Linked DNA regions of Notamacropus eugenii. The protein of the gene in region 1 interacts with the protein of each later gene in a pairwise test. Links are inferred from orthologs where the notes say so. Each region holds a gene or a part of one and is shown in the gene's direction. Other genes may lie near its edges. The genes, in order: HOXA1, RGS17, SLIT1 and NELL2.

Region 1 (7,441 bases):
ATGGCAGATAAAGGGTTCATTAAAGCTTTGAAGTCAGGTTAGCAAATTGAAGTCTAAAGTGGAGTGTGGGTCAGCACAACATCTTCTGAAATAAGGAAGATTCCCAAGTCAGAACAAAAAAAAAATCTATAAAATATATAAAATGCACTTTAAATGAACATCAATAAAATATGATGTAGGGCTGTGCTATTGGGTTGTTCTGGTTTTTTTTTTCCTCTTATTTTCTTTCCCCCTTTTTCTCCCTCTTTCTGTGAACAGTGTTATTTACCGTGAGAAAACAGTGCAAGCAACATGTGTGAGTGGGCTGGTCTGATTTACTAACCGAAGACCTTAACAGTAATAGTTTGGCAGTTACAATGAAATCTGGGCTCTGTGGGTGGGTGAATGCATGCCCCCCCTCCACCTCCTCAGTCCTCCCTCCGTAAAGAACTATCCAGCATCTGGGAGAAGTTGTAGGGTTCTTTTTACCGGAGCCCAGTGGAGAGAAGCTGAACTGAAAGTTTGCTGGGTTGGGCTGGGCTGGGCTGGGCTGGGCTGTGTGGGCCAGAGCTGGGAATAGGGCTGGATAGAATTCTTCTACTGCTCATAAATCAAACTCTTTCTATGAATGAGAATGTCATCAAAGAGATCAATTGCAGGAACACATGCACAAATACAAGTCCTCTTACGTATTTGCCCGAGCTGGGGATCCCCGTCTGAAAGCATTAAGTTAGGAGGCGTTTAAGCTATAAGTCATTTTTATTGCTCTTTTAAAACAACAGCTTGGCTAAGCTGCCGATGCCACGAAAAGCTCAGAGCCTGGGCTTCCCCCCCTCCTCCCTCCTTTTCTTTCTAGGAGAAGGGCTTTGGGCGGAGGGAAGAAGCGCTTTAAATCTAGCCATTCTCTTTTTATTTTAATGACGGTCTCTCCACCCTTCCCCTGCCTGCCTCTAAGCTTTCCATTTTTGACAAAGCATGGGGTTCTTTGCTGGGTGCTCTCATTACCAACTCCCCAGGGCTCAAAGAGGGCTCTAAAACTCGTTTGTCGATTTCGAGATCAATTTCCTCCTGGATGAGGGAAGGAGGTTTTGCCTCTTGGTCGTCTTGTGTTTCTGGGGCCAGTCTTTTGTGTGATGGCCGGTGGGAAGAAAGCTCAAGAAAGGCGAAATTCTCCGAAGGAAGTGGAGGCGCTGATCTGGACTATGACGAGCCTGTGGAATCTGGGCCCAGGCAGCAGAGAGGCTAAGCCGGGTGGAGAAACGCCAGTGGGTACAGTATCTCGATTTCTGTTGATGGCTTTGCCTGTGTGAATATGTCTGTGAGTATTTACACACACCAGGGAAACTCCTTGCTGGGGCTTCCACTTAGTGGGAAAGAGGAGGGAGAGAGGGAAAAGAGGACAGGAGAGAAGAGAGGCAGGAAGAGAAGAAGAAAGTGGGAGGGAGGATAAAAAAGAAAGGCGGGAGAAAGAGAAGAGGAAGAGAAAGGTAGAGAGGGGAGGAAAAAGGGAAAGAAAAAGAAGGAGCAAGTAGGGAGGAACTGGAGGAAAGAGAGGGAGAGAAGGAAAGAGAAGAGATGGAAGTGGGAGGGATGATAAGAAGGAGAGGGGGGAAATAGAGGGAGGAGGAAAGAGTGTCAGAGGACTGAGGAAAAGGAAAGGGGGAGAGAGAGAAAGAAAAAGAGAGAGGGAGGGAGGAAACGGAGGAAAGAGGAAAAGAGCCTGTGACAGGGAGGGTGAGAAAACAAGAGGGCAAAGGAAGGAGGGAGAAAGAGAGAGAGGAGGGGGATGGGGGGGTAGAAGAAAGCAGACAAGATGGAGAGGCAATAGAACACATTCCATCATTCCCTATTATGTTTCATTGTGACTGAGCAGGCTACAGACTTCTAGACTAAGTGGGATCTTAACAAAAGACATGAGCTTTTTAAAAACAAAGATATAGAAATGGAGAAAAGAGGGGGACTCTGTGGAAGCTGTGCTCCTGGAAAGGAAAACGCTTAGCTGTGATGACTGTGCAGCTCCCCACCCCCACTCCAAGCCCTGCCCCCAGAATCTCTGAGAAGGAGCCTCAGAACTGGATGCTGGCCTGGGAAGAGGAGAAAGGGACGATTCTCCTCAGTCAAGGTCCAGACTCTTTCTCCTCAGAGGGTCCAACCTTCCTGGTGGCATGGTGCTGATCGTATTGGAAGAGGCTCTACTGGCTCACTTGGGGCCTGCTTCAGTTCCTCGTCATGACTATGGGTCAAAGGGCAAAAGAGCAAATGAAAATAGAAGGGCAAAAATATTGGGGAGAAACACCTTCTACTTGGGAGAGGGGAGAGGAGAAATGGAGGAGGGATGGGCTGAGGGGCCCCTGAAGCTGGTGAAGCTCCTCCAATTTTGTTCTCCCCTCTCTGAGGAGGAGGCTACTGGGGGAGAGGGCTCGACATGGAGGAGAAAAGGAGTTTATATTTTATTTTAGGAGTTTATATTTTAGGAAACAAAACAGAAAAGGAATGTGGTAACACGGAAATTTCAAATAGGCCCCCTAAAAATCTAGTTCTTGAAATTGGAGGGGGTGGGAGGAAACAAGTAACCAATCAAAAGCAGCCTCCAGATCTGTGGCCCTAGCGATCACCTCCTCTGCAGGGATTGGCTCTAAGCACACCGCAGATATTCCTGGCTACATAAGGAGCACCCCCACAGAACCGAGAGATTCCTTCTCTGGCCCTCTCCGCCTTGCTGTTTGTCCCAACTCTTTTCTGTCTCAGTCTGTCTCTGACCCGTTCTACTTGGCCTTTTCTCTGCCCGCTCAGGGTTGACACGGAGCCCAGTGCCCCACAGAAATTAAAGAACCCATTAGTAGCTGTGAGAGAACGAAGGTGACTGAAAACAGGACCCTTAGCCTGGGAAGAGATTTCTGCTAGTAGCAACGCAAACCTCTAGGGAAAACTAGCCAGTCAGTGCAGTCTAGAAACCAAGGAGGCTGGGCGGGTCTGGCTGTGGGGAGGGAGGGGGTGTAGCAGGGAGGGGAAAGCTCACTTTCCATCATCAACCATCTGTCGCCCCTCCCACTTGGCAGCCCCCACCTCCAACTCCAGACACAGCGGATGGTGACCCTAGGAGTGTTGGGGTTCGATTGGGGAGGGGGGGAAGGAGGGGAATCGTGAGGTGATCTAGCCCCAAGGTAGAAGAATTTGATTATAGTTAATTCTACAGTTAATTCTTAGCCCGCTCCTCGTCTTTTATGTCTAGGCACTCGGTCCGGGTTGGGGTTAGACAGAGGCTTCGGATGTCCCGGCCTGCGTGGGTTGACCCTCCAGCGCTGGGGGAGCCTACCAGATGGACAGCAGCTCCGGGACCCGCTCCAGAGCTGGGCTACATTCGCCAGCGTCTGCCCCTTCTCTCTCCCCGCCCTTCCCCTTCCCCCTCTCCCCCCCATCCCTCCGCGGAGTTAGGGAGTTACTCGCCGGTCACCTCGGACTCCCCAGGCAGAGTCGATTATAGGGAAGGAGGAGAAGCTGGGGGAGGGGGATTGCTGCTGCCAAGGCGGCCTTTCCCGTCAATCCAGGGTCCCCCAGCTCTCCCGCCCCCGGGAATCAGATTACAACAACGTCTCATTGCCATGCTAATAGCTGCGGGACTGGGGCGGATTGGGGAGGGGGAAGCTCCTTGGCTTTGGAGACCTTCCGTGGAGATGAGAAGTTCTCCTCCTCCTCCTTCTCCTCCTCCCCCTCTCCTCCTTCGTCCTCCTCCTCCCTTCTCCCCCTCCTTTTTCTCCCTCCTCCCTCCCCCTACTCTTTTTCTCTCCTCTGCTCTTAGCCTCCTCCCACACGGGCCTTGTAGGTTTTCTCGCCAAACCGTCCCCTCCCAGTCGCACTGTTCCCAAAGGAAGCCGTGGTCATGACAATAACCAGAGAGCTGGGCAGCTAGGGGCAGCGCCTAGCACACTCACCCGGAGGCTGGGGCGCGGGTGCAGGGCGATCTTCCTTTTCTTTCTCCTTGGCTCACTCTGGTACTGGGGTTGGCCGGGAGGGTGAGGGGCTCTCCCACTCACCTGCAATTGGGCGGCCGGCTCAGTGCAGACCGAGCCCCAGCCCTGCGATCCTGACCAGAGCTGGGACTCTCCCCGCCAAGCGCCGCATCTTCGTCCTCCTCGCTGGGCCCTGGGGATCTGCCCCACTCCCCCATTCCTCCAGCGACTCCTAAGGCAGGGCGGAGCGGGAGCCAACAGCGGCGGTGGTGGCAACGGGGAGGGCTGCCCCTGGGGCTCCGGCTCCTCCTGGGCCCGGCCCCAGAGCGGGGCTCCCATCGTTGCCACTGCCGCCGCCGCCGCTGCAGCGGCCGGGGGGGCGACTGCGCGTCACCTTGATGGAGGAGCGTCCGGGATTTAAATGCCACTGAAACGGTGATCCATCACCAGCAAGAACAGGCAAACTTTCACAGGAGGCTCCGCCATTGGCTGCCGCGGTCACGTGCGCCCCGTCCCTCTCTCCCCCTCCCCCGCCCCCTGCACACTGTACATTCATATCATTTTTCTCTTTGGCCCCATGGAGGAAGTGAGAAAGTTGGCACGGTCACCCAGGGCTCGGAAGGAGCCGGTCACTGTGTGACAGGCAGATGGACAATGCGAGAATGAGCGCCTCCTTCCTGGAGCACCCTATCCTCAACGCAGGAGACTCGGGGACCTGCTCCGCCCGAGCCTACCACCCCGATCATGGGATTACAACTTTCCAGTCGTGCGCGGTCAGTGCCAACAGCTGCGGGAGCGACGAGCGCTTCCTGGTGGGCAGGGGGGTGCAGATGAGTCCTCCCCACCACCCTCACGCCCATCACCACTATCCCCAGCCGGCCGCCTACCAGCACCTCAACAACCTGGGTATGTCTTATTCCCACTCCAGCTGTGGCCCGGGGTTCGGATCGCAGAACTTCGGAGCAGGTTACAGCCCCTACTCATTAAATCAGGAAGCAGACGTAAGCGGCGGGTACCCCTCGTGTGCTCCCGCTGTTTACTCTGGAACTCTCTCATCTTCCATGGTCCAGCATCACCACCACCACCACCAGGGTTATGCTGGGGGCACGGTGGGCTCGCCTCAGTACATTCACCACTCATATGGACAAGAAGCGCAGAATCTGACTCTGGCAAATTATAATAACTCCTTGTCCCCTCTCCATGCCAGCCACCAAGAAACCTGTCGCTCTCCTTCAGCAGAGGCATCACCTCCAACACAGACCTTTGACTGGATGAAAGTCAAAAGGAATCCCCCCAAAACAGGTCAGTTCTCTTGCCCAGCACCTGACCACTGCTACTGCTGCCATGAGGGTTTGGGGGTGGAGTGGTGGGTGGGTGTAGGTTTACTTAATATGGTGGGGAGAAGCCAACTCAAGGTTATATATAGGTTTTGTAGGGGGTGGATAGGGTGGAGAACTCAGGTGTACTTAGGTAAATGATGCCCAGGAATAATAGGCAGGAGGCCAGTCCCTCTCTCTGGCTTCCTGAAAGTAGGAGCTGGGGGTGGAGGGGTGGACTCCCATTAATCACGATTTCTGTTCACACCAATAGTTGACTTCAAGTTAATACTTTGTACCTCATCAGTCACCTTCCTAGGAGTCCTATGTGGTCAGGTTATCCTTTGCCCCTTTACCTATGATCCCAAAGCTTGACGGGTATAAATAAATCACTCATCCACACCATTTAAAAACTAAAAACAATCAGATGACCAAACTACTTCTTTTCTCTCCACCTTCCCCTCTCCCCACCCTTGCCCTCCAGGGAAAGCTGGTGAATATGGGTATATTGGCCAACCCAACACAGTGCGCACCAATTTTACCACCAAGCAGCTGACTGAGCTGGAAAAGGAATTTCATTTCAACAAGTACCTCACGAGGGCCAGAAGGGTGGAGATCGCAGCCTCACTGCAACTCAACGAGACCCAGGTGAAAATCTGGTTTCAGAACCGCCGCATGAAGCAAAAGAAGAGAGAAAAGGAGGGCCTGTTGCCCATTTCGCCCACCACTCCATCACGGAGTGACGACAAGGCCGAGGAATCCTCAGACAAATCTACCTCTTCGCCCTGCGTCCCCTCTTCCCCAGCCTCCTCTACCTCAGACACTCTGACTACCTCCAACTGAGTTTGCCCCTGGCCCCTTTTTTCCTCCCCCCACTCCCCACCCCATGATACTTTAGTGCAGGACTTCTAACCCGAAGCACATTCTTAGCTTATCTCTCCCTTCCTTTACTATGTCTTTCTTTTTGATGTTATCTCCATGTCTTCTTCGGGCTAGGTCACTGTGTTTCAAGAGAATTCAGGCCCAGAGACTGAGAGGCTGGGTGGGAGTAACTTCACAAATGGTGGGGTACCACCATCTGGTCTTTGATGACCTCTGAGGGCCTATGATTGATTCAGACATCCTTTGGAAAAACTCCATCTCCCCACCCCACCCCCTCCCATGCTTGAAGGGTGGAGATATCTGATATCTAACTTCAAATTATTTTTCTCCCCCCGTCCTCCTTCTCCTCATCTCCCGGACACTAAAGGCAGGAAAAAAGAGAGTCTAAAGACCTCAAGAAGAGGATGCACTATGAAAGTGTTTACACATTCATCTTTTTAATTTAATGCATTCAGTTTCTTGTGTGAGAGTTTGCTGGTTGTAAATACTTTAAGAGATTTATCTTTATACAGATTTTCTAGAAATGATGTTTAGCTTAGGAGATTAAAACAGGGTGGATAGACTCCCAAAGCTGGGTGTAATTTTATACAGGACTAAAAGTGACAAAATAAAGAAATCAGACTGGACTGGTGAAGCCCAATCAGATTACTTCACAGGGAAGTAGCCCTGTGCCTTTGGAGAAGATGAGTAGGACTGGGCTGCACTGGGTTATTGTTGTTGTTGTGTTTTGGGGTATTTTTTGTTGTTTTTGTAAACCTCCTGGGTGTGCAGTGTCTCTCCCCCAGTCCTCCCACCTCTTCTGGCCTCCTCCTGCCCCACTCAAAAATTATGCTGAATTGTTTCTGAACCCTAGGGCATATTATCTCCAAACATCTTATTTCCACAGTAATCCTTCCCTCGATTTGATGTATCTCCAACCCAATCGTAAATGTGATGAATGGCGAAATGAATGTATATTTCATGTGATTCGTGAATAGGCTTTTTGCATGGTGCACAATGGTTTGAGCTCCCAAAGATACTACACTGAGTTCTATCAGTTGTCCTTTGTGGTCCCACAATGCTTCTGAGTTTCTGTACAATCATGAAAAGTTCTGAGATTCCAAGAGTGATGGAATTCAGAGCAGAATTTACGGGTCCTAAAATATCTGTAATAAATATATTCACATTTCAGGTATGCTTGGGCTTCCTTGTATTTCCTCCAGGCTGCTACAATTGATTCCACACTGGGTTGATCATTTCATGTGCGAAGGGGAAGGGAAAAGGGTGTCTCTACTTTCATAAAAGTTGCCCTTAATTGGATAGAGTCAATTTTTT
Region 2 (6,883 bases), on another chromosome or scaffold:
TAATTTACTTTTCATGTTTCATTTTGTATATATTGATTTTCTAAAAAACTTTGTATACATGGACATTTGTTCAGAAACCATGAGAAGTATCTGTAATAGATGTAAGATAAGATAATCTGTTTGCATGATATAAGACTGTTCCCTTGTAGGCTAACTGTGGTAGTAAAGAGAATGAACAGACTTAAGGTGTCCTGCAGAGCTTACTCAGTATAGGTGGACATCTACTTTTTGTGATTCTTTTAGACTATTGTGTAATGCATTGTGCCTGATGAATGAAATATAATCACCGGCATGATTTGTTTGTTCTCTGCCAGAATGTGGAATAGTCATAAACTGGCCAACTGTAATTTGTACCTTTTGGTAAAACATATAAAACCAATACTTTGAAAGAACAGTTTGATATTTCCCACCTGCACAAATGAATTGAAGAAATAGCCTCAAGATTTGGTCTAGCTTACTTACAGGTTCCCTGTAGTTTCTCATCAGACACATCCTTTTGGTTGATGGTACAGTTTGTGTCCCTACCCAGTCATTTCCATGTGCTGATTTGTTTTGGTTGAATTATTTGTCATAATGGAGAGTTTCTTTTTTTCTGGGAGGTAGAATTATAAAGTAATAGTGATGCCATCCAAAAAAATTAAAAGAGGAAGAGGAGAAAGAAGGAAGCATCAACCATTTTTTTAAACACAGGAATGTCTACTCAAAAAGGGAAGTGGTCAAGAAGGTCAATTTTATTATTGTCATATTAATCTCAATATAAAAACCTGTGTAGTCAGCATTAACAGTTTCATATAGTCTTCTGTTCTTTGTATGTAGTTTCCATATTGAAATTTGCATTAATAATAAAAAATCATCAAAATCAATGAATGTATTCAAGGCCTCATAAATAAATAGTGAATAGATGTTTTCAGCAGGATTTTATTCCCACTAAACTCTGTACCACTAAGCCTGTTTTGGGGAGTGCTATGTTCAGTTCTAGATGCTTTATTTTTAAAGGAAAAAAGTCTTTTACAATCATTCTTCAACCTGTCTTTCCAAACTGACTTATATCCATTCCTCTTAATGCACTTTGCATTTCAAACTGACCTATTCAATGATGCCTGTTCACAATATTCCATCTGCCCTATCCATGCCTTTATATAAGATGTCCCCTATGCCTGGAATGCTCTCCCTCTCTACTGCTGCTGCCTGGAATCCCTAACTCTCTTCCCTTCATAGTGCTTAAGGATGCCTTCTTCCTTCCCCCACCCCCCCAAAAGAACCGTTCTTTTGAATTTATTTTGTACATACTCATCTGTGGGGGGAGGGGTTAATAGCACCCACCTTCCAGTAGGGAGTTCATGAGGATGTGATAAGATAAGAATTGTAAAGGGCTTATCATGGTGCCTGACACCTAGTAAACACTATACAAATCTTAGCTATTATCACGTGCATATTGTTTTCCCCCAGGAGAATATAAGCTTCTTGAAAGGATGGACCTTTCTTCAGTTTTGTCTTTGTAGCCTCCAAACCTAGCATATAGTAGACATTTAATAAATATAAACTGTAATAAATTGTTCAGAATGTGGTTAAAGAGGGTGACCAGGAAGGTTCTGGAAGCTATATGATATTTAACTGTGGTTGAAGGAACTAGGAGTGTTTAATCTGGGGGGACGGAGGAGATCGCTTGGGAGAGTGGGGGGATAACATGAATGTAAAATTTTAGATGTTTGAAGGAAACTTCACATGGCAGTGACATTAGACATTCTATGTACTTCCAGATGGCAGACCTAGGACCAATGAGTAGGATGTAGTGACAGATTTTGCAAACAAGAACTTTATAAAAATGGAGTGAACTGAGTGGTTGCATAGCTTGCTCCCCGTCACTGTATTTATTCAAACATTATTTTGCTTCCTTTTGAGGCATTACTCCAAAAAGATCACCTATTCTATATTTTAACATAGCTTCCCTAAAAATGCTAACATCAATTTTCTTGCTTTCATTAACCATGGAAAACTAACAACTCGCATTAATAACAATTTTTAATAATGCCACTCTTTGATTTTAAGAAAATAGAGACTTCAGAATTAAAGAGGAAATGTTCATTGTAGCATCTAATGATCCTGGCAAAAGAATGAGATAGTTGAACTAATTGTTATTTAGTGCCCCTTAATTGACAAGCATTAAGTTCAGTAGATAGCCCCAGCTATCCCTTTTGAGTTCATTTGAAACCTTGGAAGACGGAGTTAGAATTCAAAATTCTTTTGATCAATTGGAGAAGTGGCTAGAACCAAACACAAACAGATCTCATAGAAACTTGTGTGATCATTTCATCTTTAATTAGAAAGTTACTCTGGTTTTGTAAAATGACTTATGGGTCAAAGCTTACATGGAAAAAGAATAAAACATACTAACATGAGATGGATGATGACTGACAAAAAAAGATTTAAAAATAATACTGGAAATCAAACTTGAAAAGAAAATATTTTTTAAAATGACACTAGAGTGCTGCTCCAAGAAAAAAGATTTGGCTGCACAATGTAAGCTAAAATTTAAACCCTCCCTTGGACACACTTCTTTGTGAGATCATTCCTTCCTCCCACTCCTGTTGTTTTGAAAGAGCATTTGAAAAAAAAAAAAGGTCCCCTCTATTGTTTTTAATCTTTATATTTTGTGGTTTAATTCCTTCCCTCAGACTTTTGATATGACTTTTGAGTTGCTATCCAGCCTCAACTTTAGTTTGGAAGAAATTTGGACTGATGTGTTTGATAAGAGGTGGAATGAAGAAAGTATTGCTACATAGGATGATAACAAAGGTGACACATAATCAGCTGCTCAACTCTTTGATACTGTTTCCACTGCCAGGGCAAAAATCTTTGTGATTTTTTTTTTAAAGAATAAACATGGTTTAAAAAGCAGTCAAACCAAAAGCAAATAAGGTAAAAGCAGCTGGATGGTCTCAATGAGTTCACAACATCAGACATGGATGAACTACACTGAGAGATGAAAAGACCTGGAAAACATGATTGCTAAGCCCATCAGTGATATTTGGAAGACAGTAAGAAGAACAGGAGAGATGGTGCAGGAGAACAAATGACCAGATTTTCAAAAAAAGGAAGGGAAGTAGTGTGTGCAAAACAAATAAAACAAAACATGAACTTTATTTTTTATTTCTAACAAAACTGTAGGACATATTAAGAGAATGGTTTGTGAACATTCAGGATGGAAATGACAGCATGGCTCCATCAAATAAACCTTGTTTCCTTTTTTGATAGGGTTATTAGACTGAGAGATTTCAGTAAGACATTTGACAAAAGGCCCTCATGCTAATTTTGTGAACAATATACTCAGATGTAGGCCAGATAATAGTTATAAGGTATATTTGAGACTGCTTTAATATCTCAACCTAAAGAACGGTTATTAAGAGAGCTATGCTTGGCCCTATGCTATATAACATTTTAATTGATGACTGCTTAGTTGAAAGTTCTAGATGGCAAGGTGGTCACCTTCATTGGATAACGAATAAAGAGGGGATAGAATGATTTAACAGCCCATTTGAAGAAGATCTGGAGACTTTGGTGGCTTGCAAATGTGATAGTATTAGCCCATGGGGTAGTATGTTAGTCAAAACAAGGTAATGCTATCCTAGATTGCCTTAAAGAAATAACATCTAAGACAATCAAAGCTGAAGGACCACTGTGCTCCACCCTACTCAAAACACATCAGGAGTACTATTCTGTTTTTGTTTCCACATTTTACATAGACAGACTAGAAAGGATGAGGAGGATACTGAGAGTACTGGAGCCAAATAAGTATCAATAGTGGGAAGAAAAGCTGTATTATCCAGGTAGAGAAGAATTAGAAGAGACAAAACAGCTGACCTCAGGTATTTGAATGACTGTCAGGTGGAAGAAGGATTAGATTAGTATTGTTGTTTGATTCTAAAGGGTAGAGACTAGAGCAATAGGTACAAGTTTCAGAGAAGCTGACAGCTAACATGAGACAAGACTTCCTAAAAATTAGAGCTATCCAGACATGTAATGGGCTGCCTCGGTAAGTATAGAGGTTTTATTTTTTATTTAAATAGATTAAAATTAAGATAAAGTTATGGAATCAGAGTTAGGAAAACTTGATTCATATCTCACATTTAACACTTACTAGTTGTGTGATATTGAGTAAGTAACTTAGTGTCTCATTTTCCTTGTATGTAAAATGAGACAGCTGAGTTTCATGGCCTCTAAATTGCTTATCACTTCCAAACCTATGATCTCATGATCTCTGTGACTATTGATCTTCAGATAGGAGCTGGAGGATCAATTTGGTGCACTGTGATAGAGGGAGTTCTTAGTGAAGTAGGACTAAATGGGAGGATGGTACAAATTACTGGGTTAGGGAACATATGTCACATATGTCCTTTCTCCGTAGTATCTTATTTGTCAATTGTTTCTCACATCCATTGTAAGTTCAGTGAATTTCAAAGAAAATAATAATGATATACAGCATTCTGTCAGTTATCAGTCAATATAGACTCTAATTAACCTAAGAACTACTAATTACACATTCAGGGCAGCATATAATTATATTATATTGTAATCCTTAGCCACTTATACATATATGCACATCACGTTCCGTGCATATGCAATTCTGAATAAAGGCTTGTGAATTTGTTCTGCAAACCAAACATTTCTGAGGTTTTCTGATAATAGATAACTATTCACTTCTGCTCTTTGACAGTATGACAGTGTATTCTCATCTTATTATATGCTTTGCATTCATCTTGAATCAGTTATTTTAAAGTGTGGATGTTTTTATTAATAAAGTTGCTATTTGGGAATTTGGATTACAATTTTATTTAATTATGATGAAATGTACATTTAAATTTTTCTTATTCTTTTTTTATAAAACCTAAATGCTCTTACATACAGCATGAACAATTTTTGAATATTTCAGACTTTTAAGTAAAAAAGATCTGATGTCAAAATTATAAAAATTAAAAACTTTAACATCTTAGTGAAACATAAAAAGCGTTCTCAGTAATAAACTTTAAATATGCTGCATTAGGGGAATGCTACAATTTGTGAAACTGAACTTTGCAGATATGAATTTTAGTGTGATATATATATGTATGTGTACACATATATTTTTGATTTAAGTTGTTTTACAAGTTTACATTTTTATTTTCATGTGTTCTTTAAGAATAAATGTTTTCTTTTACCATTTCATGTTTCATTTGTATAGGAGGAAAGGGTATGTTTGTTTTCATTTTTTGCACATCAAAGAGATACAAAGATGTTAGACAGTTGAATGCAGGCAGTTTTCTTCTCTATTATCCTACCTTTTTAGGTGGCCAGAAAGACAAATAAAATTTCATTGAGGTCTGAGTCCCTGTAAACAAAGTAGGACTCAAACCCAAGTCTTCCACACTCCAAAAATGGCCCTCTATTCACTCTGCATTTGGAGTTCCCTTATAAAATTAGAATTTGGGTCAGATAAAATGGACTTTAGGAAGAGGTACAAGGTAAAGTGACTGCTTCTGTGGTACTAGATTTATGAGGGGAACAGCCTTCCAACCTCCAATCAAACCTGCCACGTCATGCCACCATACATTTCATTCTCTTATGTATGAAACACTTGATTTCAAATAGTCTTAAATGACATGTCTTTAAGAAATGTTTGTTAACTACTTACTTATCAATCCTAATAAGATTCCTTAAAAGTTAACTGAAGGTAAGACATGAAGCATAGTTGGAGGGTGAGGTTGGGAGAGCAGGGTTAGAAAGGATTGGGAACACAGCCACTAGTAAGGAGAAAAAAAGATTCATTGTTCAGATATAAGAAGAGATAAAGAAGGTGCCAACGGCAAACTTCGCCTCGAGTTTTATTTAACTATATAACCTTGGCAGAATTGTCATTTTGTAGTCCAACCAAGTCACAAATACCAGACTAACTTTGTGGCACTATGCCACTTCAATAAATAGTTATATTATGAGGACATAGCTCATAACCTACCCTCTTTCAACTTTTCCAGTCTTCTTACACCATATTTTCCTCTATATCCAGTGGCAATGTCATCCTTGTGGTTCTTTACACTAGACAGTACATCCGCTGACTCCAAGAATTTTCATTGGCTGGCTGCCATGCCTGCAGTTCTCTCCTAACTCATCTCCATCTCCTAGCTTTCCTTGCTTTTTTAAGGTCCCAGTTAAAATCCTACCTTCTGCAAGATTCCTCATCCCCCCTAATTCTCATGCCTTCCCTCTAAGATTACTTCCAGTTCATCATGTGTATATGTTATTTGTATATAGTTGTTTGCATATAGTCTTTCTTCATTCACCTGTAGAATGTATGAGAGCAGAAACTGTTTTTTTGCCTGTCTTTGTATTCCCAGAGTTTAGCACAGGCCTTGGCACATAGGGACTTAATAAATGCTTGTTAACTTGTTGAGAAGTCTGCCAAATTCAGGACATTCACTCCTTTATTTACAAGTGAATGGAGCAAATATCATAGGGTGAGATTATTCCTGTGGCACTCAGTGAGGCTTGTTTCCTTTCTTTGGGCAGAAAATAGCAAAGCATGCAGAAAACAAAATGGCAGATTCAAGAAATCTTGTCTTCAAAACCACAAGTGAAAACCATTGCCTTGTGTAAGCAGGAGAGCTGAAATGGTTTTACATAGTTCAGCAGCTTTGGTCATTTGAAAGATTGCCAGAAAATAATCATCCAAGACGTTGTTCAGTAGTACAGCTGAACTCTTTGGGCCCCAAAATACAAGGCTCTGAGCAGGGCATTATTTAACCTGGAAAGTAAACAAGAGCAAATAGAATGCCTAGACTAAACTAACAAAAAGTAAGTAAACCTCTGGCCTTGCAATAGAATGTGACCATTCTCTCCTTTACCCAGTGGC
Region 3 (7,968 bases), on another chromosome or scaffold:
GGGAACTGGAGGGACTCTGACTGGGTCACAGGATTTGAAGCTGCAAGGTACCACAGAAATGAATTCTGTCCAAACCCTTCCTTTTACAGATGAAGAAACTAAGGTCCAGAGGTAAAGAGCTTGCCACTGGATCACACAAAGACACAGTTGGGATTCAGAGCCTGGTCCTTGGATTTACAAATCCTGTGCCCCTTGCACGATATCTTGCTGTCTTCGAGTTCCCACATGATTTAACTTCTAGCTTCTATGAGGGGCCAGGAAGATGAGTGACAGTCCAGAAGTCCTTGCTGGTGTCTAGGTATTCTTGAGCCAGTGGCAAGATTACACTGTGTAGCTGGTTCTATCTTCTTCTCTTGGCCTCCCCCTCATCCTCCCTCTCATTTCCAGACCCCCTTTTTCTCTCCATAAGCCTCAGTAGCGACACTCAGTTTGACCAATCAACACTCCTACATTCCCCACAGGGGACCCTGATTCTAAGTGCCCTTCTGGGGATCAAGGCAGGAGGAACAAACAAAAAAAATGAAGTCCCAAGTATCATTTTTGCATCTAGGTCTCTTAAATACCTTTTTTTAATCATTGGTATGCCTCCTGGTATCTTGCTGCCAAACAGAATAAGGGGGTGAGCTTTTAGCAGCCAGTCATATTTTCAGAGGTTAGTCAGGAATGTGGCTGGTCCTTCCTTCTGTGGCTTTGAACACAATTTATTCCCCATGGGGAAGGGCTAAGAATTTAGCATCTGAGGCAGCTTGGTGTCACAGAAATAACAGGGTGGCCTGGAAGTTTAGAGAGGCAGTTTGGGCTTTGTGTAAGGTAGGGGAAATCACTTCTTTTTTTTGGGTCCAGCTTCCTTGTCAGTTAAATGAATGAGCTGGACTAAGTGATCTTGAAGGTCCTTTTCAGCTCCAAATATCAATGACATAAAGCTAGGAATTAGTGCAATGATGCGGCCAGGACAGTTTTTTATCTATCTTCCTTACTATGAAGAATATAGGACATATTTGGTACTTGGAAAGGAAGCAATGGGCACTCACAGAGATCACTGGTTCAAGTATGGGTCTATATTCATGATTTGTGACTATATAATACAAACAGGACTTTGTCATGGAAATAAAGGACACGTTTTTATATACAGGACATCTTGCAATTTTGGGTCAGGAGATATTCCATTATACTCCACTTGGGAACAGAAGCTGTGGTTAAAGAACTCTGTCCAGATAGGACTGGAATTTGGGACCCTTGGTAAGACAGATACTCCAAGGGAAGGAAATTGCTAAGAAAAAGTTCCTGCTTATTAGTTTACTTATGGTCTCTAGCCACCAGAAGTGAAAAGAATCTGGAGTCTGGTTAAAGACAGATGTAAAAGACAAATTTTGCCATTCCTTTTTGGTTTTTACAGAAAATGAGACACTTTCTGCTTTTATTTTCAGATCTCTAGCTCCCACAGAAAGTGCTTGGATGGCATCATTGCGTGTTTCTTTTTATGCCTTATCACACGTCTTCCTCCCCTTCATTCCAGTTACCATCTTGCCCAGAGCCTAAAAGTAATCTTCATAGCCATAACTAAGGCAGGGCAATTGGAGCTTTGTCTCAGAGCTGTTAATTTGGAGGGTCCTAACAGCACCTTCCCAGAAGCAGGGAAGGTGCTATCACTGACTTCACCCATCTGTACCCTTTCTCATCTGTCCATCTTGCCCAGCTAGATACTTGTAGTTATACTCTAGTGTATATATGGCTCTGTTGAACTGACTTTGGTCCATTCGTATTTGTTCATACACTGAGAAATGCATACAGGACAGCATATACTGCTTGTGGTTCTAACGTCTACAAAGTAAGGCAAATAGTGTGTGCTCTATTTCTAGTTCAGTCTGGAGAGAATCCGAGGAGCTCCTAAGATGCCCCTTGGTGGTCTCACAAACTCTGTTTGCTTTTGGAGAGAGGTTGGGAAAGGGCAACCTGAAAGGTATGGAGATCATACCATGTGCTTATCTGTTGAAGCTACTGGGAATATTTAGCCTGGAGAAGAGAATCCTGGAGATGGAGGAGGGACATGATAGTCATTTTGAAATATCTGCAGGACTACCACGTGAATGAGTAATTCTACACTTGTTTTGTTTTGCCTCAAAATGTAAAACCAAGAGCTGTTGGGTACAAGTTAAAAGGCAACAAATTTAGGTTTGCTGTAAAAAAAAAAAATACTGAGGATTAGAGGTGTCCACAAGTGCAACAGGCTGTTCCAGGAGATGGTGGTCATCCCCTCCCCCAAAGTCCCAGTGACTTTTTATCCATTTGCTGAAGAGAGAATTCTTTTTCAAATGGCCCCTGAGTACTCTTTCAGTTCTGAAATTCTATGATTCTGTAATTCTTATTTCCTCCAAAGCTCTTCTAAAAGCATAACCCCTGTAGGACAAAAATACTACACACCAAAACTTTCTCTCTGTGTTCTTTTTAGACAGCAGTGGCCATTTTTTTCTGGAGTAATAATCAAGGCTATTTCTTGGAAGCAGCAACCTTTTTATCCATTTGTCCCAAAGGGAAATCTGATAAGATGATATAGTCAAGGAAAAGTGGAAAGGTACCTTGGAAGATCTTTTTATTCCATTTAGCTTTGCCGCATGTCTCTGTGTAACAGATGTACAACATGCCACCATGACAGAAATTCCAATAGTGTTTTGTGTCGTGTGAGGGAGACCGATGGAAAATGTCCTTAAGGAGTGATAGACTACTGCAAGATGCAGTCTGAACAGTGACCTTCCAAAAGTCAATTCTATATCAACCTTGCTGTTAATTTTTTTAAAAAAGGATTTTTAAAAAGCAGACCTTACATATGTAAAGAGGTGGGCATCAAAATGCCAATCTGCCACAACCTATGCTGGATTGGGGCTGGGGACTAGAAGCTGACTTGGAAGGACAACCTCCTCAAAGTGGATGAGGAGGTAACTTACTCGCTAGTATTAAAAACTCACCAAAAAACAAATAAAAAACCAGGAGATCTTCTACAGAAAATGAGGGGTCCTCCCTTCTTTCTCCTCTACCCCCACTCACAAAGCAAAACAGTAGGATTTGCCCTTACTAGGGTTCTTTATTAGGACGATGTATCCCTTAACTTGTCCTTTGTTAAAATGAACTGTATTTTCACAGTCACAGAAAACGAATGTTGGACTGGAAGGGACCTTGGAGATCTAGACAATAGTCTGATTTTACAGAGAAGGAAACTGAGGCTTGCAAAAGGGACTTGACTTACTCTAGGTCACCCACCTGGCAAGTGACACATAGATTTCCGAACTCCAAGTCCAGTGTTCGTCCCACTACATACCAAGCCTGCTTTGAGCTGGAGGACCTGGGTTTCAGTCGAGGTCTGATGCTAATATCACTTGTGTGACCTTGGGCAAGGTACTTGAACTCTAGGGCTAGTTCTCTCATCTGTAAAATATGTCGGTTTGACTGGTTGGCTTCGGAGATTCTTTCCAGCTCAAGATCCATGATCTATGACTCCTTTCCTCCTTCAGGGATGTCCTTGGAATTTATTTTAACCTGATTCTTTCGGCATGCAAGTGGGGGTGGGGATCTCCTCCTCCTTTCCGAATCTCGTAAGGGTCTGGCTCCCCCTCAGTATGGGAGTCAGCTGTAGTCACCAGGAAAGGACGCTCCCTTCCTCGTGCAATGAAGTGACCCTGATGGAGCCTAACTAGGCAGCCTAACTCGGATCCTAGTTTTTCTCCTAGTGGAGTGGAGTATGGGTCCTCGAGGATGGTAGGGGGGTGTGTGGTGGTGGGGAAGGGAGTGAAGGGTTTGGTTGGCGTAAGGACTCGAAGTGAAACTTGAGGGTTCGTGGAATACAAACTCCGGGCCAGTGCAACCTTGGGCCCCTGGAGGGACAGGTGGTGTGACGGAGCCCGCGAAGCTTCCTCTGCCTTGTGCCCTTTAGACACCGCCCCGGTTTTCAGACCCTTGAGGATAGGAAACTGGGGGGGAGGGGGACATCTCGGGGCAGGTGGCTCCCTCGGGGCTCTGAGTGGTCTGCCCCTGGGCTGGAGCAGTGGGGTCCAAGCATCCCTCCCCCTCTGCCCCTGCGCCCCTGCGCCCTAGCCTTCGAGATGAGCTCTGGGCTCAGAGCTGGGCGGAGATGCCCCGGACTCACCTTTACGATCTGGGCACTAACGTGCCCCCCTCCCCCCCATCCCCGGTCCCATGGCTCCCATGCCGAGGCTCCCGCAGACCCCTGGGGCACGAGGTCACCCCACCCTGCCCTAGACTGGCAGGAGGCGCCGAAAGGGTCATTCCACTCCGGAGAACTGGGGTGTCAGAGCCAGAGGCAGAAGCGGGCCACGGCCTCAAGTGGCTCCGAAGTGTGTGTGTGTGTGTGTGTGTGCCTGTGCTGGGCGGATCGGGGAGGACGCTCTTGGGCACGCCTGTTACAGTGTGACTGCTAACGTGTGCCTGTGAGTGTGTGCTTGGCGTGAGTGTGTGCGGGGCTTTTCGTGCGTGTGTTCGTGGGTTATGTGTGTAGGCTGCTGCGCGCGCTTCTTCCAGCGCCCAGACTCGGCTTTCGTGCCTACTTCCAGCTGAGTCGCAGCGCCCCCGCCCATCCCCTTCCCCCCTCTGCGCCCCTGGCCCCCTTTCCTTTGCGGTGGGCAGGGGTTACACCTTTGGAACTGTACGCGGCTCCACTTGCGTTGAGTGGCCGTTTGAAGATTGAGAGGCTGGGGCTGGGGAGAGTCGGGAGGGACGGGGTAGGAGGAGTCAGGGCTGATATTTGTGCCTGTAGATTGATGGATGACTGCTGGATGTGAGTGTGTGTGCGCGCGCGAGAGAGGGTGTGAGTGTGAATGTGTGTGTGTGCGTGTGTGTGCTCGCGGCTTTCCCATTTTCCTCTTCGCAGCAATCAGGGAGGGAGGGAGACGGAGAGAGGGAGGGAGAGAGGAAGGGAGGGAAAGAGAGGGAGAGAAATAGGAGAGGGAGATAAGCTCACTCTAGAGAACTCCATCCATCCAGAGAGGCAGTGGAATAGCTACTGGAAGAGGAAGGCGATTTGCATCCCGAAAGACAGAAGAAAGAAGCTTTTTCTCCTTCTCTTCCCCTCATTTCCTTCCCCTCACCACCTTGTTTTTACCTGGGATTACACACAAACCTGTGTGGTGCCTGGAGCCAAGCCTAGGACTGTAATGGTCAAAGGATCCAGTCTTCTGGCACTGAAACAGGACTGTCTGTGGGTACCATGGCTCTGAAGCACAGAGGTGGCCACTCTGCTTGGCTCCGGCCAGAAGTCTGGCTCTTGGTGTGGAGTGCCCTGTGCCAGCTGTGTGCCCGTGGCTGTCCTGCTCTCTGCACCTGCACAGGGACCACTGTGGATTGCCATGGCATGGGGCTCAGATCGGTTCCCAAAAACATCCCGCGTAACACTGAGAGACTGTGAGTATGGGTACCTTTTTCTTTACGTTTATTCTCAGTGGGGAGCCATCGGCAGCCCCCCTTCCCATTAGCCCCATAATTGCCCCCATCCTAGATTGAATTCCCTAGTCTGGAGCGCACAGTTTGGGGCCCTGGGTAGACAGCCATTGGACTGGTCAGTGGAGCTGAGGTTATTTTCTGAGCCTGAAGCACAGCTGCCTGCCTCTTCTTGATGATTCAAATAGCCCTCCCTAGGGTTGTAAGCTCCCTGGCTCCCCTGTGCTCACTTACACCTGCACCCCCAGCCCTCCTTCTCCCCTCTTATTAGGCTATTTTGAAATGACATAGTAGCTGTTTTCAGGGTGCTTCATAATCTTTTATGAGGTAATCCTGATGGCACCCCCTTGGAATGGAGGTAGTCATCTACTTTACCAGGCATGAAACCTCATTTTGGGGAAATATGGGCTTGGATTAGATCTATATGTGTATGTGTATGCATTTGGCCTTTGCAGTTATGGAGGCTGCTGGGGTGTCTAGGGTGCTTAGTTGAGGCTTCTCCTATTTCTCTTTCCCTATTGTTTTTCCTGGCGCAGTATCCCTTCCTTGGCAGGTATCACCCATTAGTTTTCCTTGTTACCCCTCTTCATCCCCAGTCCAGATAAACAATGGAATGGAACATGTCACAGCATAGCCTTGGGACATCTTTGATATTGGGAGCTTGACTTGTGACTGATCTGGTTCATCAGAAGGGATGTGGATGAGCCTGGCAAAGGGATGGAGGAGGGAAACCTGGTAAATACCAGCCCAAGAACAGAGCCAGTGACAAGACTCTTGTTCCCTTCTTCCTGCTGTGGGGTAGGGAACTCTCTTTAGCAAGGTTAAAGAGAGATTATCAGTTTTAAGTAATAAAAACATCATTTTCCAGTGCCCTCACCCTACTCCCTCCCTTGAATTTTTGAAGATACTATATGTCTTTTATAGTTCTCCTGGAGAACACTGCTGAGGGACGGTGTGGGTAACATGTGTATGTTTACAGAGCTTAGTAATGTGCTTAGAGCCTTATCCAGGCTCTGTATATGCAAATTTGTAGTGTCTATTGCTCCAGACCAATGGTACATCTCATTTTACATCTACAGGATACATGCATGTGTGTGATGGATTTTTGGACACACACAGAGCCTTTGTACTAGCAGAGAGGTTATTGCACCAATAGATTTTGGAATGGGAATTTGTAGGGGGCTGTGTAGCCTCCTTTGAAGCCAGTCTGCCCTTTCTTCCCACACTCCTGTGCAAATCCAGTGGCTCTCAATCAAAGAGCCCATATTTTGATAACTTTTTCACACATTTTCATCACTCCCAGAAGGTCAGGGACAGAAATCGGACCCGAAGGGGATCATTTTTCTCCATGAAACTTTATGTATTAAGGTCAACAATTAGGAAGCAGACAATTTGCCCTAGAACCTCCTACTGTCCAATTCTGTAAGTTTCCCCAATTTTACATCCTCTGAAGTGTATTAGCCATTTGTGATCAAATAGGGGGACAGGGAGGTTAGATGGGGATTGAAATTCTGCTTCTGAATCATAGGGAAGGTTTGGAATCCTTGATGACATTCATCAGTTCAATTCATTCCTTCTTCAGGTCTATCAGGATAGAGCCAGAGTTTAGAGTAGAACCAGATAGTTGCTCGAACCAGAGTTGTTTCTCTTGAAGAAGGAGCCCTGTGGACAGACATTTGCACAGTGACTCTGAATTTCCATGTTTGTACCCTTCCCAAGCTTCCCTCCTCTCTATTCCCATCTCTGTTTGCTCATTTGGAATAGTGGCTAGCTCTGCATTCTCTGATATGTGTATACACCTTCTACAATGTTTCTCACTCTGAATAACATCCTTCTCCTTTGGAAAAAAAAATTTTTTTGTTGAAAAGGTTTGATCATTCATTTTTGGTCTTGATCACTTTCCTTTTTTCCCCTCAAGGGTAATTCCTATTTTAACTCTATTAAGCTATTTAACTTTATAGAAAGAAGTGAGATGGAATCCATATAAGTGTTAGGTTAGTGGAATTAGGGTAGGCTAAGTGACAAAGGGGAGGATTTTGGGCTTTGCCCCAGGCATAAATTATCCTGGAGGAAAGAGGAGAGGTCTGATTATTACTCTGAGGGATCAGGAGAGAACTAGTTTTTGATTGTGGTTCTGATACTAGTTGTGTGATCTTGGACAAGTCATTTGAGCTCTCAGAGCCTCAGTTTCCCTATCTGTAAAATGGGAATGAGATTTCTTACACTATCTATTTCACAGGATTATTGTATGGAAAGTTCTTTGTAAACCTTAAGAGATAATAGAAATGTGAGCTATTATTATTATCTGCTGAATTTGGGTTGAGAGAAATAGTGGAAAGAAATATGTTTCTTTCAAAAAGACCAAGAAAGAGCTACTTGGTAAAGAAAAGAGAATTAAAAAAAACCCCCAGAAATCTGACAGAGCCAGGAAAGAGTGCACACGTGGACTTAAAATAACAGTGGTAAATTTGTCTCTCTAATCAATATGGGTGTCGAGCACTATCAGTGTCTGAAACAGCAGCT
Region 4 (7,959 bases), about 190 Mb from region 1:
CTAGAAGTGGCAATAACTGCAGCAGTAACTGCTGTTGCCCTGGAGCTAAGGTTGGGACCAAACCATGCTCCCTTCTCACCCAGGTGGAGAGCTTTCTCACTAATCTTTGAAGCTGTCTTTGGTGTTTGTGGGTTGAGAAATCAGGAAACTGTAGCAGCTGCCAATGCCCTGAGGACTGCTCCAGTCCAGTCTCTACCATCTGTGCCATGTTGACAGAGCTCTGCTCTGAGCGTGGTGCAACAGACCCTTCCTGTCAGTCTTCCAGGTTGTCTTGGGCTGGAAATCTGTTTCACTCTGTCATTTTGTGGTTTCTGCTTATCTAGAATTTGTTTAAAGTCTTTTTTCACAGGTATTTTAAGAGCTTTGGGGGGAGAGCTCTAGCAGGTGTCTGCTTTTACTCTGCCATCTTGGCTCCAACCCCCCAAAAGTTCTTAAAATAACTGGAAGCTATTAAGAATTAGATAGAGGGAAGCTCCAAATCACTAATAATAAAAGAAATCTAAATCAAAACAACTTTGAGGTTTCAATTTACACTCTGTTAATTGGTAGAGAAAAAGATATAGAAATTGTCCATGTTGGAGGAGTTGTGAAAAGATAGGTACTAGTACATTGTAATGAGTATAACCATTTAGGAAACTACTTTGGAATTATGCAATCAAAGTGACTAAATGTCCACTCTCTTTGATCCAGAGTTTCTTGGGGCTAATACCCCAGGAAGGACATTGGTAAAGAGAAATTCTCCATATACATAAAATTTTTTATAGTAACACTTTTGGTAATAATAAATAATTATGTAAGTTTACAAAGTTTACAAAAATTTTCAAACAAAATAGTTAAAGAAATGCTCATGGATTAATAAAATGGAATATTATTGTGCTCTAGAAAATGATGAATATTATGAATACAGAGAAGCATATATATGTATGTATAAATATATATGAACTCATAGAGAATGAATTAAGAAGATAGAGGAAAACAATATAAACAGTGACTACAACTATATAAACAGGAAGAAAAAGCACATGCAAAAAAACCCAAAATTGAATTTGCAAAGTTTTAAGAACACATATGGCTCTAAAGAAGAAATGTGAGAACTTCCCTCTCCCACCCTTTTAGTAGTGGGTATTCCATTCATATGATTCATTGTGCATATTTTCAGACTTTTGACCCATAATAAGCAGTTTTCTGATCTAAATCTCTGTCTCTCTCAGTCTCTCTGTCTCTCTCTCTCTCCCCTTCCCTCATTCCCTCTCTTTTTCTTTCCCTTTGTCTTGGAAAATATGAGCTAGCTCTCTAGGAATCAAAGGGGCAGGGCTATTGAGCATAATTTTAGTGCTATAAGAAAAAACATCAAAAGATATCAATAAAAATATATTTTAGAAAATGAAATTGGGGAGCTATTCCTTAACTTTAATTTTGTAGAACATTCTAAATGATTTGGATTAAAAAATAGCTAGAAGTTTATATGCATAGGTAGGAGTTGAACCATTTATTCTTTGAACAGGGGATCTTAAATTTGGCTTTATGCAGAAAGTAACAATTAATTTCTATGGAGGAAAGTTCATTCAAACTAGGAAATTTGTATTACTGGAAGATAGTAAATACTAACTACTAACTATCTTAAATGTTTGAATCTTGAAGAGAAATGTTGAATCTTTTTATATATAAAGATATTTTTAAACATAGTTACATGATGTGGTTTTTACTATTTAAGGAATAGAAGAAGCTCTTTTTTATTTTAAAGAAAGAAACTAAAAATAATTTGTGAATAATTTTTGAAAATTCACAATTTCAAGAGATAGAAATTATTTCTAAGTGTAACCATCAAACCTTTTAAATGTTAGGCAAGTGCTTAGGAATATCCTGCAATACAATCATTATTTGCAGTGAATTGACAATGAGATTATAGAAAGATGATCATGCCAACTTTTAAAATCTAACTTTTAGTTTTTATATGTAACCCACAGTTCAAAGACCATCGGCATAAGGGTCTCTTCATTGGTGAAGATTGCTTACTCTGGGAAGAAGCTGTTATATAGCAAATAAATCCATTTTGCAAGTCAAAATAAACAGAAATCAGAGAACTTATACAGATGAGAATATACTAGACAATTCATAGAGTGGAGGGGGAGAGAGAGAGAAAGAGAGAGAGGGAGAGATGGAGAGACAGAGAGAGAATCATCCAGAACTCACTCAAGAAAAAATTCCTTGAAGCTTCTGTGTAGAAAGGAAGGCGTAATAGAGAATGTATACATTGTGTTTTGAGATTTGCAAATCATTTTGCAAATATTACCTCAGGTCTTTTCTTACAATAATAATGGGATAGAGATTATATTATTACAGAGATAGAGAAATGTCTGAGGCCCTAGTTCCTCTACATATTAGCTTCTTCCTACAATATTTCTCTCTTCAAAGACCACTCCCAGAACATAATCTGGAACCACTGCAAAGACCAATATCTCTCTTTTCTCTCATACTCTCATCAGTTCCATCCCTAACAGCAGCAGTTTTCATCAATGAAAAGTCTTACACAAATGAGTTTTGAGCTCCCGATTACATCTATTTTATTCAACTGCCTAGGTAATCCAGCATTTTATTTTATTTTATTTATTATTTTATTTGTTTTCAGTGTTCTACAATCACTTCCATGTATCTTAGATTTTTCCCCTCCCTCCTCCCCTTTCTCCCTACCTGCCCACTCCTTCCCTGAGATGGCATACAGTTTTATATAGGTTCTACGCATACCTTCCTATTAAATAAATGCATTTTCATCTTAGTCATGTTTCATAGAAGAATTAAAATGAATGGGAGAAATCATAAAACAAATCAAAACATACTACAAAAGAAAATGATTGTTTCATTCTGCAATTGAATTCCATAGTTCTTTCTCTGGATGTGGAAGGCATTTTGCCTTAAGCGACCATTGGGAATTTATTAAGTCCTTGCATTGCAATGAAGAACTAAGTCTACCAGAAAAATTCCTAGCACACTATAGTTGTTGCTGTGTACAAAGTTCTCCTGGTTCTGCTCCTTTCACTCAACATCAGTTCTTATGTCTTTCCAGATCTCTCTGAAGTCTTCCAGTTCGTCATTTCTTATAGCACAATAGTATCCATTACATTCATATACCACAATTTATTCAGCCATTCCCCAATTGATGGGCATCCCCTTGATTTCCAGTTTTTGGCCACCACCAAGAGAGCTGCTATAAATATTTTTGTACAAGTGAGACCCTTTCCCACTTTTATGGTCCCCTGGGGATACAGTCCTAGAAGTAGTATTTCTGGGTCAATGGGTATGCACATTTTTGTAGCCCTTTGGGCATAGTTTCAAATTGCTCTCTAGAATGGTTGGATCAGCTCACAGCTCCACCAACAATGAATTAGTGTTCCAACTCTCCCACATCTTCTCCAACATTTATCATAGGTGTCATGTAGTATCTCAGAGTTGTTTTGATTTGCATCTCTCTAATCAATAGTGATTTAGAGCATTTTTTCATGACTATAGATGTCTTTAATTTTTTCCTCTGAAAAACTGCCTATTCATATCTTTTGACCATTTATCAGTTGGAGAATGATAATCCAGCATTTTAAAAAGCAGATGTAAATTTAGCTTCTTGAATAATATACTAATTTAATTTAATTTACCAAGTGAATACCTGTGAAGCCTTTTTAAAGTGGGTATGTGAATGTTTATTTTGTCAGAAAAATACTGCTATCTTAAAAAATGAACAAATTCCACTGATTCTAGGTATTGGAGATTTTCATAATACATTTTAAAAGAATAAGTAGAAATTTTAAAATTTGGTCCAGACTTTGACATTTCAGTAACTTAAATAAATAATTTGAAACATTTCCCACACCTTAATTATAACTCCCCACCAAGAGCCAATAAAAAAGAAAGTAGAAATGTCTTTTTTGTTTTACTGTAGTAGCATATATTACAGGGTACACTCTGATACCTATTGCTGTGAGGACAATTTAGACACCTCTTCTAACATTTAGCAAGACTGTAGGCATTTTGGTCTATATAGTTATGGGAAGGGGTAGATGGAGATTTAAGAATGCAGCTGCCTTGCTTATAAAACTAGGTAACAATTTACTTACCAATTTAGCAATGCAATACCCTCTTAAATTTGCTCTGATGAAGGAGTATAAGGAATCCAATTTTTTGAATTCAGAGAACAATCTCCTGGATATTTAAGGGCAATTCTGGAAAATGTTGTCTTGGATGAAGACATTCTATGCAATTTGCATCCATCCTCACTGATTCTGTATTAATGGAATCCAAGGCCTATGAAAATGTTATTAGAGAGGCAAGACTGTGGTCTCTAATTAGGGAGACTCATCATATTCAGCTGGTGCCATGGCTCCTTCCTCCAGGCTTGCCTGCTCAGAGTTCCTTTCTAGCCCACGCGATATCCCTTTCCTCAACTCATCCGTCTGGCAGAGGTTCTGGAGCTTCCAGGCTGTTCTGCCACCAAGTTCACCACTCACTGTGCTTTTTTTTCCCCTCCTTGAAATATCTCTAGCGCCCCTACCCAGGCTGTCAATTTTTGCATCTTCCCCAAGGCTCCCTTTTGCTCCCCCTATTAATCACTTCTCTCTGTTTTTCAGGTCCCAGCTCAAGGTCACGTTCTGCTTCCAGATCAATGCTGTCTTGTGCTCTTGGAAAGGAGTACTGAGTTTCTTGGGAGCTGCCACGGTTATGGGAGAACTGTAGGGTAGCTTTTGGATTTTTCGTTCCTTTCTGACTAGCGAGCAATTTAGTTTCCAATTCCCTCAGGGACTTTGAATAACTAGGTGATCCCTTTTCCTGGGGTAAGGTGGAGTGGAGAGGGGGGTGGTTGGGAGTGGGGGAATACGCTCTTCTGTGAACTTGGCACCTTGGTTTTAGTTTTTGTTTTTTTTTTAATCTGAAGGAGGAGAGTGGCAAGGCTCCAGGATAGTGGGAAGGAAGAGAAGGAGGCTGCAGTTGCTCCCGAAATCTGTTGCAGTGGGAGGAAAGGGACAAGGAAGCTCTTCCCTGCTTTCTTCATTCCCTTCCTTTTCCTCCCCACCCTCCCCCATGCTCGCCGCCCCTCCCTGAAAGGGCAATCTCTTCTCCCTGCATCTCTGGGCTCTCCTCCCATCGTCTCTGCCTTCATCACAGGTTCTGGCTGCAGCGGGAGAGGGAGTTTTTGTTGCCACCCACACCCGTCAACACTCCCAACCTCCACTCCCACCACCGATCTGATCTTTCCTTCTTTCCTCTCTCTTCATCCTTATCGTTCTCTCTCTCTCTCTCTCTCTCTCTCTCTCTCTCTCTCTCTCTCTCTCTCTCTCTCTCTCTCTCTCTCTCTCTCTCTCTCTCTCTCTCTCCTCCCTCTTTTTTACCCTTTGCCACTGTATGTGAGAATGATGTGCACATCAGGTCCAATTTGTTCAAGGGTCTGACAGATTTATGCATTTTATTTTTAAGGAACTGCCCTCCTCGATTTTTAAAAATAATATTAAGAAACAAAGGGAGAGGCAGACGTATATTTATTTTTATTTTAAGAGGGTGTTGTTGTTATTTTAAGACGAAGAAGATGAACTGAAAAGATCTCCACCATGGAGTCTCCAATCTTAGTGACCACGTTCTGTTTGATCTTCTGTCTCGGATCAGGTCAGTGCTGGCTGGGTTGGGCTGAGGGGAAAGCAATCTGCATTAGACTCTGTAGAGACAAGAAGCAGAAACCACGTAAGGAGGTTCTGGAAAACCAGTGCTATCCTCTCTGTGGCACTGAAAATGCCCGGGAATGGGAAGGGAAAAGGCTAGCTTGCTTCCCCCTCCCATTTTGAGACCTAAAGGACGTTCATGGCCCATATCTTTAGCCTTGTGAACAGAGGGGTACTTTTCAGGTGGAAGGATTTTTAAGTATTTCATGGAAGTAGGACTGGGTGTTGAATTATTTTTAAGCCAAACTGGTGAGCACAGGTGAAATTCTGAGAAGGGATAGTTGCCTAGCTTTGTCAGCTTCCAACATAATTGCTGTCCTGTAGTGCCAGATACTTTTATTTTGATGGTGCTTTTTCTTTCCCTCTTATTCTTCTCCAATGTCCAAAACCTACCTTCAGTTTGGGGAATTGGAGTAGATCCCTCCTTGAAAATCGACTTCTTGACCGATTTAGAGCTGGGAGAGTCCACAGCGGGAGTGTTCCAGGTCCCTGGGCTTCACAATGGAAGTAAAGCCTTTCTTTTTCAAGGTATGGATGCGTGGTACTGGGGTCAATTAGATAATTTAAGAAGTCCTTAGCAAAGCCCTCAACCAAACTTTCGAATTAGATTGCTCCCATCACAGTGTTTTAAAGTAGTGGAGGGTCATGTTTTATTTGCTTCTCTTTCATCTCTTTTTAAGTGCCAAGGATTATCTCCCATAACTTTTTAGTTTGTATTCCTGTTATTTTTAATGGCTAGGACCCCTGATTAACATACAGAAATTCAGATGGCAGATGGTTTACTTTAGATTCTAGGAAACATTATATCAAAACAAATGCCTCATTTAGTTGAAGTTAATTCAGTTAGGAAATAAGATATCTACAGTTTTGATTAAGAAATTATTCTCTGAAAGTTTCCTATGAAATTTTGCCTCTTTAGATTGGCCAGAATCTTGACAAAATATGTATTTAGCTTTCTAGAAAAATCAAAATCATCCGGCATGTTACTATTATTTCTTCATTATATAGTAGACATTATTTATGAAACTGTATTCATTTGTGTGTGGGGGAGCAAATTGGGGTAAAATGACTTACCCAGGGTTACTCACACAGTTAAATGTCTGGGGCTGGAATTGAATTCAGCTCTTCCTGATTCCAAGGTTGATTTTCTATCCTTGTGCCACCCTGGAAATATATTCATTTTTTGAAAATCCCAAATCAAGCCTCTAACCACCACATCCTTACTCCTGACTTTAATAACAAAGGAATGAGAGCTCTTCATGAATCAATAATGAAATAATGTTTAAATATGTAGTGCTGACAGACATATATTTTAAAAGTTGAAACTAACCTTGATTTACAAAGCTATTTGAAGGTGACTTGCACCTAACTGGGGTTTAGAACTCTTGCAAGTACATACAACTTCAGTGGTACACTTTCAATGTTCTGAAGTCAAGTAGTAGAACAAGTGCTAGAAAATATTCTCAAAGGCCAATTCCTTTTTTCCATTAAAAAAATTTTTCAGTATGCATTCAGATATAATAATGACAGAAGCACAGATCTTCCAGGGCAGAGACGCCACTTCTCTTGCAATTTTCTGGAAATTGGGAGTTCTATCCTACATTTCTTTATATGCCCTACAGTACCGAACACTCAGATATTTGTAGATTGATTTTATATCTTTTCTAGGTCAAAGTACAATGCTTGGGCACACAGTAGACACAATAAATTTTGTCAACCTGATTTCCATATGTGGAATTCTATTTAACTAGATAAATAAGATAGGCAAAGATATAGTACAGGCCCCAGAGTCAGGAAAATCTGAGTTCACATACAGCTTCTGACACTAGCTTTGGGACCCTGGATTAGTCTTTTAACCTGTTTGCCTCAGGTTCCTCATCTGCAAAATAGAAATAATAATAGCACCTGTCTCAGAGTTGTTGTGAGGATCAAATGAGATAAAATTGTAAAGCACTATGGTAATTGACCAATAAACTTTAATTAAACTACTGTATGCAAGGCACTGTACTAAGTGCTGGGGATACAAAAAGTTGCAAAAGACAGTCCCTGCCCTCAAAGAGCTCACAATCTAATGAGGGAAATAATATGCAAACAGGTATACATACATACATACATACATATATATATATATATATATATATATATATATATATATATGGAAAACTATATACAGGATAAATTAGGAAATAGTAACAATGGGAAGGCAGTGGAATTAAGAGAGGTTAGAAAAGGCTTCTTGTAGAAGGTGGGCTTTTAGTTG

The links.
Region 2: the proteins of HOXA1 (region 1) and RGS17 interact in binary tests that used the Homo sapiens proteins (3 or more experiments, as listed by UniProt). The two-hybrid records come from large-scale screens. The link is inferred for Notamacropus eugenii from reciprocal best matches to the Homo sapiens genes HOXA1 and RGS17.
Region 3: the proteins of HOXA1 (region 1) and SLIT1 interact in binary tests that used the Homo sapiens proteins (3 or more experiments, as listed by UniProt). The link is inferred for Notamacropus eugenii from reciprocal best matches to the Homo sapiens genes HOXA1 and SLIT1.
Region 4: the proteins of HOXA1 (region 1) and NELL2 interact in binary tests that used the Homo sapiens proteins (3 or more experiments, as listed by UniProt). The link is inferred for Notamacropus eugenii from reciprocal best matches to the Homo sapiens genes HOXA1 and NELL2.

The regions. Positions count from the first base shown.
Region 1 is NC_092874.1:18,131,440-18,138,880, reverse strand, and holds HOXA1 (homeobox protein Hox-A1), read left to right. Parts: upstream 1-4,432; 5' UTR 4,433-4,576; coding exon 4,577-5,231; intron 5,232-5,729; coding exon 5,730-6,088; 3' UTR 6,089-7,297; downstream 7,298-7,441. UniProt on the Homo sapiens protein: Sequence-specific transcription factor. Regulates multiple developmental processes including brainstem, inner and outer ear, abducens nerve and cardiovascular development and morphogenesis as well as cognition and behavior.
Region 2 is NC_092873.1:245,568,591-245,575,473, reverse strand, and holds the start of RGS17 (regulator of G-protein signaling 17), read left to right. Parts: upstream 1-3,868; 5' UTR 3,869-3,977; coding exon 3,978-4,033; intron 4,034-6,883. UniProt on the Homo sapiens protein: Regulates G protein-coupled receptor signaling cascades, including signaling via muscarinic acetylcholine receptor CHRM2 and dopamine receptor DRD2.
Region 3 is NC_092872.1:213,997,933-214,005,900, reverse strand, and holds the start of SLIT1 (slit homolog 1 protein), read left to right. Parts: upstream 1-4,960; 5' UTR 4,961-5,215; coding exon 5,216-5,409; intron 5,410-6,794; exon of another isoform or gene 6,795-7,107; intron 7,108-7,968. UniProt on the Homo sapiens protein: Thought to act as molecular guidance cue in cellular migration, and function appears to be mediated by interaction with roundabout homolog receptors.
Region 4 is NC_092874.1:211,486,881-211,494,839, forward strand, and holds the start of NELL2 (protein kinase C-binding protein NELL2), read left to right. Parts: upstream 1-4,958; 5' UTR 4,959-5,591; coding exon 5,592-5,646; intron 5,647-6,098; coding exon 6,099-6,227; intron 6,228-7,959. UniProt on the Homo sapiens protein: Plays multiple roles in neural tissues, regulates neuronal proliferation, survival, differentiation, polarization, as well as axon guidance and synaptic functions.